3 linked regions of the Caenorhabditis elegans genome follow. The protein of the gene in region 1 interacts with the protein of each later gene in a pairwise test. Each region holds a gene or a part of one and is shown in the gene's direction. Other genes may lie near its edges.

What was found. Proteins that work in one complex are often made in the same cells at the same time.
Region 2: the proteins of Y69H2.3 (region 1) and nhr-184 interact in a two-hybrid assay, tested with the Caenorhabditis elegans proteins (one large-scale study listed by BioGRID).
Region 3: the proteins of Y69H2.3 (region 1) and F53A9.6 interact in a two-hybrid assay, tested with the Caenorhabditis elegans proteins (one large-scale study listed by BioGRID).

The regions. Positions count from the first base shown.
Region 1 is NC_003283.11:18,660,332-18,666,255, reverse strand, and holds the start of Y69H2.3 (Follistatin-like domain-containing protein), read left to right. Parts: upstream 1-2,129; 5' UTR 2,130-2,159; coding exon 2,160-2,226; intron 2,227-2,268; coding exon 2,269-2,345; intron 2,346-2,394; coding exon 2,395-2,530; intron 2,531-3,444; coding exon 3,445-3,639; intron 3,640-3,705; coding exon 3,706-3,897; intron 3,898-3,942; coding exon 3,943-4,137; intron 4,138-4,544; coding exon 4,545-4,634; intron 4,635-5,078; coding exon 5,079-5,168; intron 5,169-5,275; coding exon of another isoform or gene 5,276-5,413; intron 5,414-5,463; coding exon of another isoform or gene 5,464-5,536; intron 5,537-5,591; coding exon of another isoform or gene 5,592-5,797; intron 5,798-5,924.
Region 2 is NC_003283.11:2,211,745-2,216,842, reverse strand, and holds nhr-184 (Nuclear Hormone Receptor family), read left to right. Parts: upstream 1-2,364; 5' UTR 2,365-2,382; coding exon 2,383-2,564; intron 2,565-2,610; coding exon 2,611-2,669; intron 2,670-2,716; coding exon 2,717-2,916; exon of another isoform or gene 2,917-3,030; coding exon 3,031-3,252; intron 3,253-3,304; coding exon 3,305-3,495; intron 3,496-3,540; coding exon 3,541-3,910; 3' UTR 3,911-3,972; downstream 3,973-5,098. Other genes in the region: nstp-8 (Nucleotide Sugar TransPorter family), read right to left, coding at 565-703, 747-844, 890-985, 1,051-1,119; Nuclear hormone receptor family member nhr-133, read left to right, coding at 4,770-4,948, 5,011-5,069.
Region 3 is NC_003284.9:8,712,418-8,716,262, reverse strand, and holds F53A9.6 (Spore coat protein), read left to right. Parts: upstream 1-2,458; coding exon 2,459-2,719; downstream 2,720-3,845.

The DNA.
Region 1 (5,924 bases):
GTGCAAATATTTACGCTTCTAAATATATAAAATCATAGAAAATTTGATGAGAAAATCGAGTTTTTGACCTTCAAAAAGTGCTAAATTTGGCAAAAAATAGTCGATTTCAAACGAAAATTTTGTAGAAAAATTTAAAAATTCCTTCATAAAAATGGTTGAAATTAGAATTTTCCTATTCAAAAATGTCTGAAATTTCCAATTACCAATGTAAAAACGTCTGAAATTTTAATTTTCTAATTGCAAAATGTCAGAAATTTCAGTTTTTCTATTGAACTTTTCATTTCCTATAACCCGAAACATCCAAAAAACAATAAATTCTGCCAAAAACCGCCAAATTTTCAGTTTTTTTGCCGGTTTTTTCTCCAAAAGTAGTCCCAAAACCCCATTTTCTCGAAAATTTTACATTTTTCTCAAATTTTCTATCAGAAAATTCAATTTTCCCGCCAAACCCCCCTACAAATCCCAATCTCCACACATCATTTACAAAAAAAAACGTGTAAAAAATGTGTGGGAGATCAAAAAATAAAAGATTTGGCGGGTTGGGGGATTAACCCTTCAATTTCCGTTTTTTCTAGTCAACTCGCGCGTGTTCATTTAATCCAAAAATCCACTACAACTTTGTGAATTTCGTTAGATTTTCGTTTATTTTTTTGTTGGTTCGAAATATTGATTTTGTCTCGTCATTTAGTCGTATAATTTTAGTACTCAAGTGTAGTTTGTAGTTTGTAGTGAAACTGCCCATGCTGTCCCATTTCGGTTTGATCTACCCCCCAGATCTACAAGAATTGCGGGAATTTAGACGCAGAGTTCTCAAATGATTTTCAAAAACTTGCAGAAATTTCAAATTTCCTATACAAAAATATCTGAAAAACTGATTTTCCTGTAGAAAAACGTCTGAAAAATCGATTTTTATATGTAAAAAATTTCTGAAATTTCGAATTTCCTATATAAAAATCTCTAAACATTTCACATTTCTTATGTAAAAATGTTTGAAAAAGTGATATTCCAGTAGAAAAATGGCAGAAATTTCAAATTTTCTATGTAAAAATGCATGAAATTTCAAACTGTTATGAAAAAATATCCTAAAAATATGATTTTCCAGTATAAAATGTCCTAAATTTCAAATTTTTTGTATAGAAATCTGAAATATTGAATTTCTCATGTGAAAATATCTGAAAAATTGATTTTCTAGCAGAAAATGCCGGAAATTTTGAATTTTTTAGTACAAAAACGTAAAAAATTTGAACTTCCTATATAAAAAATTCTTGAAGTTTCAGATTTCATGTTTAAAAATGTCTAGAAAATTGATTTTCCTGTAAAAAAAACGTTTGAACTTTCAAATTTTCTATGTAAAAATGTCTAAAATTTCCATTTATTCATTTAAAAGTGGCCGAAATCCTGAATTTCACAGTTCAAAATACCGGAAAAATACATTTTTCAGTCGAAACATGTCTCAAATTTTGAATTTTTTTATATAAAAAATTTCTGAAAAAAGTGATTTTCCAGTAGAAAAATGGCAGAAATTCTGAATTTCCTATGTAAAAATTCCTGAAATTTCGAATTTTCAGTGTAAAAATATTTGAAATTTTGAGTTTCCTGTAAAATAATGTCTCAAAATTTGATTTGTCTATATAAAAAATGCCGTAAATTTCCAATTTCCTATGTAAAAATATCTGAAAAGTTGATTTTTCCTATGTAAAATTGTCTGAAATTCATAGATTTTTTCTATAATTTTTTTTTGGAAAAAACAGTTCAAACTACATATTTAAACTTGAAAACATATCAAAAAATATTTACTTTGAACAATAGTTTTTTCCCGAAAATTCCATGTTTTTTTGCAATATTTGCATATTGTTTTCAAGTTTTCTGTAACTTCGAATGTTGTTTTTCTTTAAACTCCCCATTTTTTCCCAGCAATTTCTGCAAAATTTCCAATCTTTTGACCCCAAAAATCATCAAAACACAGACATTTTTTTTTGTTTACTTTCTCCTTTTCTCTCTCAAAACATAATGTTTTCCGCACTTTTGATGTCTGATTTCTCGATTTTCTGGTTTTTTTATTATAATGTTTTTCCTGAAACTTTATGTTTTGGTTCGCATAAAAATGCTATAAAATGGCGTGATTTTATAGTTTTCCAGAGTTTCCGAGTTTCGGAGCGATGCAGTATATTGTGCTGCTCAGCGTTCTGCTCATCGGAGCAAACGCTCAACTTTCAGCGACAAGAGGTAAGTTTTTCCAACCTAAAAGTGTACCTAAACCCCTTTCAGACCAAGAATGCAAAGAAAACGAGAGCTTCCAGACGTGTGGCACGGCTTGCGAGCCGACTTGCGGGCTTCCGACTCCGGTGAGCAGATTTTGTTGTCAAATTCCGGCTTACAACGTGGTTTTTGCAGACTTTTTGCACACTGCAATGCGTCATGGGATGTCAGTGTAACAGTGGATTCTTCCGCAGAACTTCGGATAATCGTTGTGTTGAGCAGAAGGACTGCAATGTTGCGGCGAATGAGACGATTCCAATTCCACCACCAGGTTAGAAGGGGACACAGACTAAAATTTGGGCCGGGCTACGCAGTCTCGGAATCTGAAATTTTGGGTCCGCTAGTACATCAGAGTTTCCAGACAAGGCCCAATCTCTAAGGCCGCACTGGCCCTACAGACAATGGCCCGGAGTTCGAAACGGGTATCTAGACCCAGAGCTTGGGGGTATCAGCCTCCTGACTTTGTGGGCGCCAAGCCCAGAGTTCAAGGGTCCCAGGCCCAGAGTTCGGGGGTACCTGCCCCAAATTTTGGGGATACCGAAAGACTAAATTTTGGGCCGGGCTGCACACGGAGTCCTGGAATCTGATGTTTTGGAGCGCGGGGTCCGCTTGAAAATCAGATCTTCCTGACAAGGCCCATTCTCTAAGGCATCTCAGGCCCTACAGACACTGGCCCGGAGTTCGAAACGGGTATCTAGACCCAGGTACCAGCCCCCAGAGTTCATGGATCTTAGGCCCAGAGTTCAGGGGTGCCAGGCCCAAAGTTCAGAGGTCCCCAGCCCAGAGTTCAGGGATACCAGCTCCACAGTTCAGGGTCCCCAGCCACAGAGTTCATGGGTTCCAGGCCCAGATTTCGTGGGTACCTGGCCCAGAGCTCGGGGACTGCCGGACCCAGAGTTAAAGAATACCAAGCCTTGAGCTCCACGGTAACAAGCCCAGAGCTCCACGGTACCGAGCCCAGATCGTGGGTACCAGTGCCAGACTTCAAGGGTAACAAGCCCAGAGTTAATGGGTCACAGGCCCAGAGTTCATGGGTACCAAGCTCAGAGCTTGGGGTACCGAGCCCAGATCGTGGGTACCAGCGCCAGACTTCAAGGGTGCCAAGCACAAACCTACCAGGCATCCTAAAGCCTCCAAACCAAGACCCCCGACCCCAAACCCCTCTAACCCCCCACCAATTTCCAGCCACCAACCTCACATGCCCAGTCAACGAGGTATCCAACGAGTGCCACAACCCATGCACCGAGAAGAAGTGCCCACAAAAGAATGCTCCACAGGTGAACTGCTTGATGGCCTGCCAAGTCGGATGCTCCTGCATGGACGGATTCGTCAGAAACAACCAAGGAGTGTGTGTCAAGGAGGCCGAGTGCCCAGCGATTGGTAAGTACTCTAAAAATTGGACGAAAAAATGCACCAGAATTGCGCCACCGCACTGCAACTTTCCAGGCTCTCAAACCTGCGGAACCAACGAGGAGCCCAACCAGTGTCACAACGCGTGCTTCGAGAAAAAGTGTCCGGTTAAGCCCCAGCCACTGGTAAACTGTATGGAGAAATGCGACATCGGATGTTCCTGCAAAAAGGGATTCCTCCGGAACCGCCAGGGACAGTGTGTGAACCCTACCGAGTGTCCGGCTACTGGTGGGTACCGTTTTAAAGGAAACTAGTTAGAGCCAGTGATTCTAGGCTCCACACTGACTTGCTCCAAGAATGAGGAGCCCAATGACTGTCACAATTCGTGCTCCGAGGCAAAATGTCCTGTCAATCCACAGCCATTTGTTAGGTGCATGATGAGGTGCGAAAAAGCATGCTCTTGCAAGAAGGGACTCGTTAGGAACCGGCAGGGACAGTGTGTGAAGCTTGCAGAGTGCCCACCGACTGGTTAGTAGGGCTGAAGCCTAGTTCTAGTGGCTTTAGGGGTCTCGAGTGAATTTTCGGGCAAAAAGTCATGTTAAATAGGCTTCTGGCAAAGTTTTGATGAAAATATCTAAGAAAATTGAGCTGAGCTCAGTTTTAGAGAGTTTTAGCAAGTTTGGTGTCTTGAAACGAATTTTTGCGGCATTTTTGACTCCGCTGTTGATTTTTAGAACAATTTTGCGATTATGAGCAGGTTTGCATCAAAATTGATGTAAATCTAGGCCTTTCAACAAAAGTTTTAGTTTTTGGACCAAAATTTCGGTGCAAAAAACGACTTGACCCCTTTTTTCGACAAATCCGGAGCAATTTTCCTATTTTGGGGCAGTTTTGAGCAGAATTTTTTGATTTTCCCCTACAAATGTGGTTTCCAGGCAAGACTGACACAAACCCATGTGCCTTGGTACTCTGCAAGCCCGGTCACCGATGCACCATGTCAACTGGCCAGGCAACTTGTGTGCCAGGTATCATTTTTTCTGTCCGCGGGCGCTGGTTTGGTGCGGTTCTTTGCTAAAATTCTGAGAATTTGGTGTCCTGAAATGGACTTGGATGGAATTTTGACAAATTTGTGGATTTTCGGAACGATTTTCACATTTTGGGACAGTTTTGGACCAATTTTATGGGGATATTGGCTTTTGACATACTTTTTGGCAGTTTTTTGACGAAAACGTTTTTTTGGCACACATTTTGGTTTAACGTGCGAGTTTCAACAAATCTGCCAACTTTCGGCACATTTTTGAATCAATTTTGAAGGTTTGGGGTTGTTTTTGACGCAAAAATCGGGATTTTAGCTTGTTTTCATGCCAAAATCATGATGCAACGACGTAATGACTTGACGCAATCCTGGTGCATACCCTGCGACTCAAAATATACGAATTTTCCGACTCTAACATATAAATTGTTTCCAGGCAGCACTGACGAGAACCCATGCAACTTGGTGGACTGCCGTACCGGTCACCAATGCTCCATGTCAACTGGCAAGCCGACTTGTGTACCAGGTATCGCTTTAGGATTTGGGGAAATCGGGAACTTTCTGTTGAATTCGGCTAGATTTTCAGTACTTTTATTCCTATCCTTGAGTTTTCTAACACCCAAAAAATTAAAGTGAGAACCGCGCCAGAGACCCCACCAACCGGGATCACGTGCGCCAACGTCAGATGCGGATTCAAGGGAGGTTGTGGAATGGTTGAGCCCGTCGGATGCGTGGGTTGCAAGCGTCAGCCACAGTGTTTGGAGGAGGACTGTGAGTTTTTAGGCAGAAAAAAATTCAGTTAAAATCGTCGAAATTTTCAGATTGCCGCGCCCAGAACTGTCCCTACAACGAGGAATGCGTTTTAGTCCAGGTCACGTGTATCCGGGCTCCATGGTAGGGCTTTAGTCCGGAATTTTTTTTTGTTGCAGAAAAAAAGTTTCAATTTCAGTAACCCAATCCCAACATGCCGTCCAAAGGACTTGAGACTCATCAAGCCTCTTATCCAGCCCCGTGAGCGCCGTCAGGCCGGGCCAAGCTGTATGACGGCCCGTTGTGGGACCCCGGCCGGGTGCGCTATGGTCAGGCCAAGTGGATGTATTGGTTCAACTGTGGAGAAGGGTTGTGAGCTCATGCCGATGTGTATTCATGTGAATGGTAGGTGACTGAGAGCCACGATATGTCGGGCGCTGCAACTTAACATGGTCCTGCGGACCTGCGATGTGTCGGCTGCTTTCTCTATCCTTGAAGCATCTGAATATAGATACCTTGGAAGTGTCCGACG
Region 2 (5,098 bases), about 16 Mb from region 1:
TGAATTTTCTCATGTAATCTAATTTCCAGGAATTTCAGAAAAAATAAAATCACTAAAATGTCCGGTTAATATGTCTTTTTAAATATCAACTTAGAATATAAACTTATAAGTGCTGAATCATTTTTGAGTTTTCGCGTAAGTCAACTAAGATTTTGGCATTTTGGCATAATTAGGATTAAAATTTTATTTTCTCGGTTTTGTTTGTATATCATAATTTGAATTATTATTTGTCACATTTTCGGACATTTTTCTACAAAGAAATTGGATCAATTTCAATGTTTCAGCGTTTTTCTTAGAGATTACCAAATTTTCTTTTCAAAAACATAATTTAAAAAAAAAGACAAACAGTGCCAAAATTAAATAAACTAATGAAAACTATGAAAACCCAATAAAAATTGCCAAGAAAAATTAAACATTTTGTAAAAATGCCAAAATTTAGGTGATTTGTATGAAGAATTCAAAAAAAAATCATACTAAATTTAAAAATTTCTAAAAAATTTTTTACAGTTTGAATTTGGTATATTGATCCCATATTTTCTTAATTTCATTTTGGGCAAAAATTACCGAATAAGTTGTCGCATCAATATTCGCGAGTGCAATGTAGTATAAATTGTTCTGAATAGCATATACCACTGCTGGAACCGACACTTTCAAGGTTTCCACTCGATTTTTCCAAATGTGTTCGTATAGCTTTTTGCCAGTTCTGTAAGTGTGTTGGAACATTACTTTTTTCCCCAGAATCTTACTTCTCAAAACTTTTTGTTTTAAATAAAACAATTATCAGGCAAAATAATAACTTCAAAACTTCCATCATAAAAACCGAAGTTGTCGGAAGGAAATGGCTCTGAATAGTGATTTTTTCTTGGCAATTGAAAATTAAGATCCTTACCGTATTAGCCATTTGTACAAAAAATGGCATGGCTGTGTGGTGTGCGGTAACTGCGATCATAGATAAAAGTTGAATTGAGCATAACCCTTGAATGATCTAAAATTAACTAATTTCCAAGCTATCATGAATTAAAAAATGAAATTTTAAAAAAATTGGCGTACCGAACTAGAACTCGATTTGACTTTCTTATCAATCTCTAGATCCAAAATTTGATGTTTCACATCACTCATTTTGCACTGAAAATTAAATTTTCAGAGAGTTACAAATACAGCAAATGTATTTAAAGAATAAGCAACAAATCGAATCAATAGGAAATATATTGGCTTTTCAGGATTCAAGATCGTGCGATAATAATATGTAGGCTGCGCCTGGTATCGCAGAAAAAATCAGATTTTCCTCTCAAAAGTCTAGTGAAATTTTCCTTTTTTTTATTTGTCGCTTCGTTTTTTGTTAGACATGTTTTTATCCGGTTTAACTCTAATTATTTAAAATTTCAAAATTTTTCTAAAAAAATCTTGAGTATAATACCTCAATTTTCCAAATTTTCAAAAATGTTCTTCAATTTTTTTCCTTTTTTTAATTTGAAGGAGGACTAACGGTTCTGACGATTTTGAGCGTATAGGCCCAAAATGTGCTCAAATGAACGAATTTTGTAATGAAACTTCTTAGAAATTTTTGAAGAATTTTTTAAGGCGGTTCAAAATTTCTAAAAAAATACACTGATTTTTCCAACAAAAAAAATCTCCAAAATTTCAATAACTTTTAATACATTTTTTTACATTTATATTCGGTCATTACTACTCATTTTTTTATTATAAAAACTCCAGATTTTCAAGATCCCGTCAAAAATTTTTTTAATCGGAAAAAAATTCGCATTTTTTGGTGTGATTTTTCAAACATCAAACAAGCCTGGCCTAGACTGAATTTTTAAAAAATGGGGAGATTTGTTCCTTGTCTTAAATTATTCATTCACATTATGTAAGCATTTTCGTAGTTTCGTCACTCTTGGCAACTTTTTCTATTGACGCTGATGTTGCTTCAAACCCCACCAGGCCTTGCTTTAGCAGTCTGCGTCTCCGATCATTGGTTTCCATTTTATATGTCTAGTATGTATTTAGTTTTCTGTCAACTGATATGTATTGGACTTTTTATTTAATTTTTTTTATTGATTACCATTATATATTTTTGTAGAAAATTTAAATTTCCCGCAAAAATATTTTGAATTTAATTTCTCCCAAAAATAGTTTTTTGAGAAAATTTTGATTTACCGCCAATTATTTTTTAACAAAAATTTGAATTTCCAGCTTAATTGTTTACTGAGGAATTTTGAATTTCCCGCCCATATTCTTTTTTAGAAATTTTGAATTTCCCGCCAAGTATTTTTCAAGAAAATTTGATTTTCCCGCCATATTTTTTTTGAGAAAATTTGATTTTCCCGCCAATATTTTTCTCAAAAAAAAATTGAACAAATCTTTAGCAATTCAGACGACAAAATGCCAGCAGCCCTTCTCATCTCAGGACCGTGTAAAATTTGTGATCTACCAGCTCACGGAAACCATTTCGGTGTGCTCAGTTGCCGAGCTTGCGCCGCATTTTTCAGAAGAGCTTCTCGAAGTCCTCGGTTTCAAGATAAAGCCTGTGAATATGGGGATTGCCGGATTTTTGATGCTGGAGCGTATGTGTTTGCTGGAAATTGAAAAAAAAAACTTCAAATTTTCTAGATATCGCTGTAAAATTTGCCGACTGAAAAAGTGCTACAAAGTCGGAATGGACGCAAGTAGTGGGTTAAAAAGAATTTTTAAAAAATTTTAATATCTAAATGTTCAGAATTTCAAAAGGACCGTGACCTTATTTCAAGCTCCAATGCATACCTTAAACGCACGAAAGTTTATGCTCCACAAAGTTTGGCAAACTTTCTCGGGCGGCCCGAATTCATAATAAGTTTCGAGCCCGAAAAGGCTTCTCCTTTCAAGACAGTGATAGATGTGACGGATTTGGTTCACAAAGCTGCAGAAATTTTCCAGGAGGTAAAGGTTATTTTTTGGCACAAGCCGACACTTCACGGGCCAATTGATGTTTTTTTCGCATCAAATTTTGCCGTCCTGTAATTTGTCGGTTGCTCGCTATTGTGCAATTTTAAGGACCTAGCCAACTCACCAATGCCCTACAAATACAGCAATAGCCTGGAAAAGCTCACATTGGAAATGGAAGACTTGCGGTTAAGAAGCTCAAATCATAAAGTAAAAATTGTGCGGAATATTGGGAAAGCTGAATCGCTTGTCTTTTTCGAGCAAATGTTCTTGGCGACCGCGAACTGGTACGCAAGACTTCCAGATTTTACAAGTCTGGATCTTCGTGTTAAGGTATGGTATTCGGTATTTAAATTTCGAGCCAACAAAGTCTGTAATTTTCCAGCTGGAAATACTAAAATCCACGTGGATGCTTTGGATTCGACTGAACAAGCTAGCTGAAACAGCACAAAATCAAAGAATTAAAGAAATGGGTGCAAACATTTTTATGTGCTCAGAAAACACTTGTCTGAATGTGCAGGATATCAATGTTGACTGGAGCTGGTGTACCAATTACGGTGCAGAGCAAATGCAAGCGTAAGTTTCAGGTTTTTTAAATTTTCTTAAGAGAAAATTTTACAGATTCCTAATGCCAAATATTGATAAGCATTGGAGACAGCCAGTGGAAGACCTCGTGAAGCTCAACCCAACAGATATGGAGCTCAACTTCATGCTCATTCAACTCTGCCTTAACGATGCTGGCAAGAAATTTCAAGGACGTGTCCTAGAGGCAACTGATAAGCTCTTGCAAATCAATGCAGATAATTTGCATAATTATTATACCAAAAAGTTGAACATGCCATCATACTCTGGACGATTGACAAAACTGATGAAAATCAACCAAATTGTCGAGGAAGATGTGAGGGAGAGAAAGGAAAAAGCGAAGATTGTCGAAGTTTTTGACCTGTTTTCAATTGTTTATTCGCATCCGGAAATGTTTGAGGGCACTTGATTAATAATTGACAATAAAATTTTTGTTAAACAACTTACTAATGAATGTATCCTTGATTTAAAAAAAATCGAATTTTGAATGAAAAATTAAATTTTTATTCAATCATCACTTTTAAAGGTGGAGTAGCGCCAGTGGGGGAAAGTGTTAAAAACTACTCCGATGGTGCCAAAGTGGCCGAATATCATAATAAAACCATTCAAAGATTTTTTTTTGAAAATTGTTTATTTGCTGTCAAAAAGTGACAATTACTCAGTCAAAAATTTTGGCAACTGGACAAAACTTTGACCGGAAATTATGAAAAATCTAAAATTTTTTCGAGTGTTTTATTATAATATTTGGTCATTTTGGATCATAATAAGTATATTTAGGCAAAATCACGACTGACGCTACTCCGCCTTTAAGATATCAAATTTTGTTATTTCTAGAACTGCTGTTTTCCATTGAGAAAACTAAAAAACTCTCACTGAACTTTGGAAGTTCGCTGCTATAATTTAGCATTTAAAATGTTTTTCTAACTTTTTCTTTCAAGTATTGTCAGGGATAAATTTAAAAAAAAACCACCCATGCGTTTTAAAATGACCAAAAAAAATTTTAAAACTTGCCCAACTTTTTTGAGATTTTTTGACTGAAAATTTTGAAAAACCTAACAGGTTTTGTGTTTTTATGGAATTTGTACTTATTGGACTATTATATAACGGCACTCTATTTTTATTTGTTGATCTTTTGATATTCCCTACACCCTAAAACCGCAGTCTATTTATTTTCCTTTCCTTCAACAGTCTGCGTCTCTCGGCACGTTTTATCGGTTCTACACTACCATTGATCATCGTTCTTTCACGTGTTTTATGTATAACTAAAAATGCCACCTGCCCTCTACCTTTCCGGGCCATGCGAGATCTGCGAGCAACCGGCTCACGGCAATCATTTCGGTGTGCTCAGTTGCCGAGCGTGTGCCGCATTTTTCCGAAGAGCCGCACTTCAAAATGCAAAATATCAGGATAGAGTTTGCAGAAAGGGAAATTGCATTGGAAATGATTTGTAAGTGTTTTTTTTGTGTAGAAGCTGAAAACTTGAAAAATTAAAATTGTAAAAAATTTCAGATATCGCTGTAAAATCTGTCGGTTGAAAAAGTGTTGTGAAGTTGGGATGAACTCGAGCAGTGGGTATTTTTTAAACGAATAGAATGAA
Region 3 (3,845 bases), on another chromosome or scaffold:
CGGTAAGTAACACCAAATAAAATAAATAAATCGTTGATCTGCTGGAAATATTAATTTTAGCCAATCGTCTATCTTTAGCCATTAATAGCAACTGTTGAACGATGCGTTAAATTTTGAAGTATGAAAAATGGAAGTTTTCGATGTTCGAAAAATCATATGTTGCCGAATGTTACAACGATTAGCCGACATTTTCCATTAATTCTCAATTTCGACAAATGCGAAGTTTCCCTTTGCTCGAAAATATTGTTGGTCATTCACTCCTGGTCATATGCTGTCGAATCAAAAACTGGGGAGAATCAAAAAAATCAAAAAAATCAATGTGGATGTATGTTGATGTAGAGAATCAATCCGCATTGTCGGAAGTACAGTGTGACACAAAGAAATATTAGAGCAGTGGTGTCAACAGCAGTTCAATTGGATTGTCAGGCCAAATATTCTCGTTCACAATCAGTAAGGAACAAAATCTTAATTTTCGTTAGACTATCACTAATTTTATGTCTAGCTCTTTCTTCTCTTTTCCTTTCTTCACTTTCTTGGGAGTGTCGAAAGACCTCTCTTTCGATGATCAAATATCAATAATATCAAATAGTTTTCTCCTGTATTGTTAATTCCGATTAACATATTAGATGCTAATCACCTCTTATGTGTTCATTTACATATTATTCCAATCCATATAAAAACCCAAGAGAACTCAGTAGATGTATGTTTGATGTAGGATGTATGTTGATGTAGAGATATGATATAATTTCCTTCTAAAGCGCTTCGACTGATATTTTCTGTTTATTTTTATTATTTACATCAATAAATCCTTTTATTATTGCCTACCGTTATTAAAGGAAGAAAGAAAAAAGAAAGAAACTTATCCGAAAGGATAAGTGTTCACATATGCTTCGTCCATTCATTACAAAAATATAATAATTTTACAGAATATACCAATTAGTTATGTTGAACATAATGCATTCGGAAGAGTTTTTACAACAAAAATGAAATAACTCTTTTAAAAAATTATTCATTTTAATTTCTGTGACGAAGATAGATAATCTTTTCAGAAAGACTTGGTCCCATTCCATAATAGATATATTATTGATTCAGTTCTTTTTTCATTCAGTTGTTTGTGAACACAAAACCCAATAAAGTTATTCGATACTGACATTTGTCTAGTGTAAAGTTCAGTTTCCAATGTGTTATCTGCCCAACCTATCAAGAAAGAAACGCTTAACCTTTCCGTGCAGCCAATTTGACATTAAGCACTGAAGAATTATTAAATGCATACTAGAATTTAACAGGAACTAATTGACAAACAGTTTACCTTTAGAACAAAGACTAATTTCCAATCAAAAATAATTGTTTTAAAGAAGTAACTGAGCCCAAAATAAATACCCTGACAACTGTAACTAAGGAAAACAAGTCAATTATATTGTCTACGGAAAACACACAAATAAAAATGATCATATTGGGTTGAATTACGACTCAAATAGTCTATCATGCTCTTTTGATATTGCTTTTTGGTCAAAAAACAGTCCCTCGCAACGAATATACGTGAAAAGCAAATGACAAAGCCACGGATACGTGTACAATGGATAATTTATTGAGTGTCACAAGTGTTCCAAAAATCTGAAAAACTTATTGATCTAAATACTTGAGATATAACTTGATTTCAATGTTTTATTGTTGACAAGGACTGTTTTACTCTGTTTTTTTTCTACTGCAATTACTAATATTCAACGTGTCACGCATAGGTTGTGATTTTATTTTATTTTGAGAAATTCAGTGATATTTTAAGAACACGTCAAATGAAAACGTCAGACTATTACATTAATGGAAACATCGGAAAATAACAAAGGTTCGCTCGTAGAATGCGCATCGCATGTCTTACAATATCTCAAAAGATATCTGATCTGATCACTATTTTATTATCAAAATGTTCAACCCATTTGATATAACATGTATGAAACAAAAAATATTATTGTTTTAAAAAACTTTCCAATGTGACGATCATTTTCATCATACTTCAACATCATGAGGGAGGAACTGGTCTTCTGGATCATTCTCTCCCATTTGGCCTATGAGTAACACCCGTTCCGCTCCTTTAGTTTGTTTGAGCTTCTTTGTCGTTTTGAACAAGAAAGGTGACTAACAAATAAGGCAAACAAAAATATCATCACACCCTCTTATAAACTTATCGAGCGTCAAAAAATGGAGGAGGGCCAAATGCCACCAGCGCATGATAATTTAAACGTTTTATCACTTATGACGTGTGTCCTCCATTGAATAGATTGCTCAAATACTCAAACGCGAAGACCATACTCCATCAGTTTTTCAGCTTTCCATCTAAAAATAGGTCCTTTTTTGGATAAACCTATTTTTCAAAACTGTTCAAAATCTTCTTTTTATCTTATTTCTTGATGTACATTATTTTACCAATCCTTTTTTACTAACTTATTGATTTTTAGAAATAATGTCGTACTACGGAAACGGAGGATACAACGCTCCATACGGAGGACACGGAGGATATGCTCCACCACCAGTCCACGGAGCTCCAGGATACATGCCACCAACTGTTCATGTCCACACTGACGGAGGACACCACGGACATATGGACACCCATCACCACCATGACAGCCACCATCATGGAGGACACCATGGAGGACATCACGGAGGACACTACGAAAGCCATTATGAAAGCCATCATCATCATGGACACCATGGACATCATTAAATGTGATGCAATTTTGTAAAATTTTTGCACTAAGCTGTTAACCTTCCCATATGATCCTACTAACAATAAATGCTTTACAGTTTATTTGAAAAAGATTTTGCAAAAAGATTTAACAAAAAGCATAAACCATGGAAAATCTATTTGGAACTGTTATCCCTTTTTGTTTTTAATTTTTTAATTTAAAAATAACAAAATTTTCCTAAACGCGTAAAACAAATAAGCACGGCAATTTTCAGACTTCATCAAATTTATTCGGTGTAACATAAAATTCAAATAGTTTTGCCAATAGTGGGACCGTCAAGTTTAACTTTATCCAAAGCTCCATACAGCATTCTCTCACTTACAATATTTCAGAAAAAATAATTTCTTCTTGCGACTTTTGTTAAGCGAATAAATCCTTCAAAAATTAAAAATATATTGATTTTTTCAGTTCAGTTTTTTGTCTAGCTGTTTATTCTCCTTTGAAGTCTTTGAAATTTCAAAGTTCCAAATTCGAATCATGATTTGATTTGATTTTTCGTTTTGTTTTGATTTTTTGATTTAGCATTCAAAATTCTGACATTTCCCAAAAGCCTAAGCTATTAGCAATTTTAAAGCAATTCTGAAAAGACCGAATACAAAACATGACATTAAAATGTCATGTGCACACTAAAGATTACGATTTATTTTTAAGCACGCTTTGCGTTTTATGTGACTTGACACTTCTTATCAGTCTGATTTTATGTTTTGTTAGCTTCACCGTAGTTCAAGGACAAAACTCAAGGAATGATTTAAGGAACAAAAATGAAACGTCTGAGAGGTACGGTATGAGCAAATACAAATTCTTTTGACCGAACATTTATTGTGTTTTACGATGGCTCCGCTTCTAATCGGTATTGCAGTCAGACCATAAAATATTTTAAATGCGGGATCAACTAGGAGAAAAAGTAAAACATGTCAAATAGGTGCAATTTTGAATTAACATAATTGAAAAACTAAAGTGAAGATTATAGCGGCTTCTTTAAAAATCCTAAGATTTGATCACTAATGTACATTTTTTGTTGTTGTTCGATAAGTGTTTGGGTGAACAATGATTTCAAAGTCGGAAACGATTGAAGTATTAATTGAACATTATCTGTTGTGTACA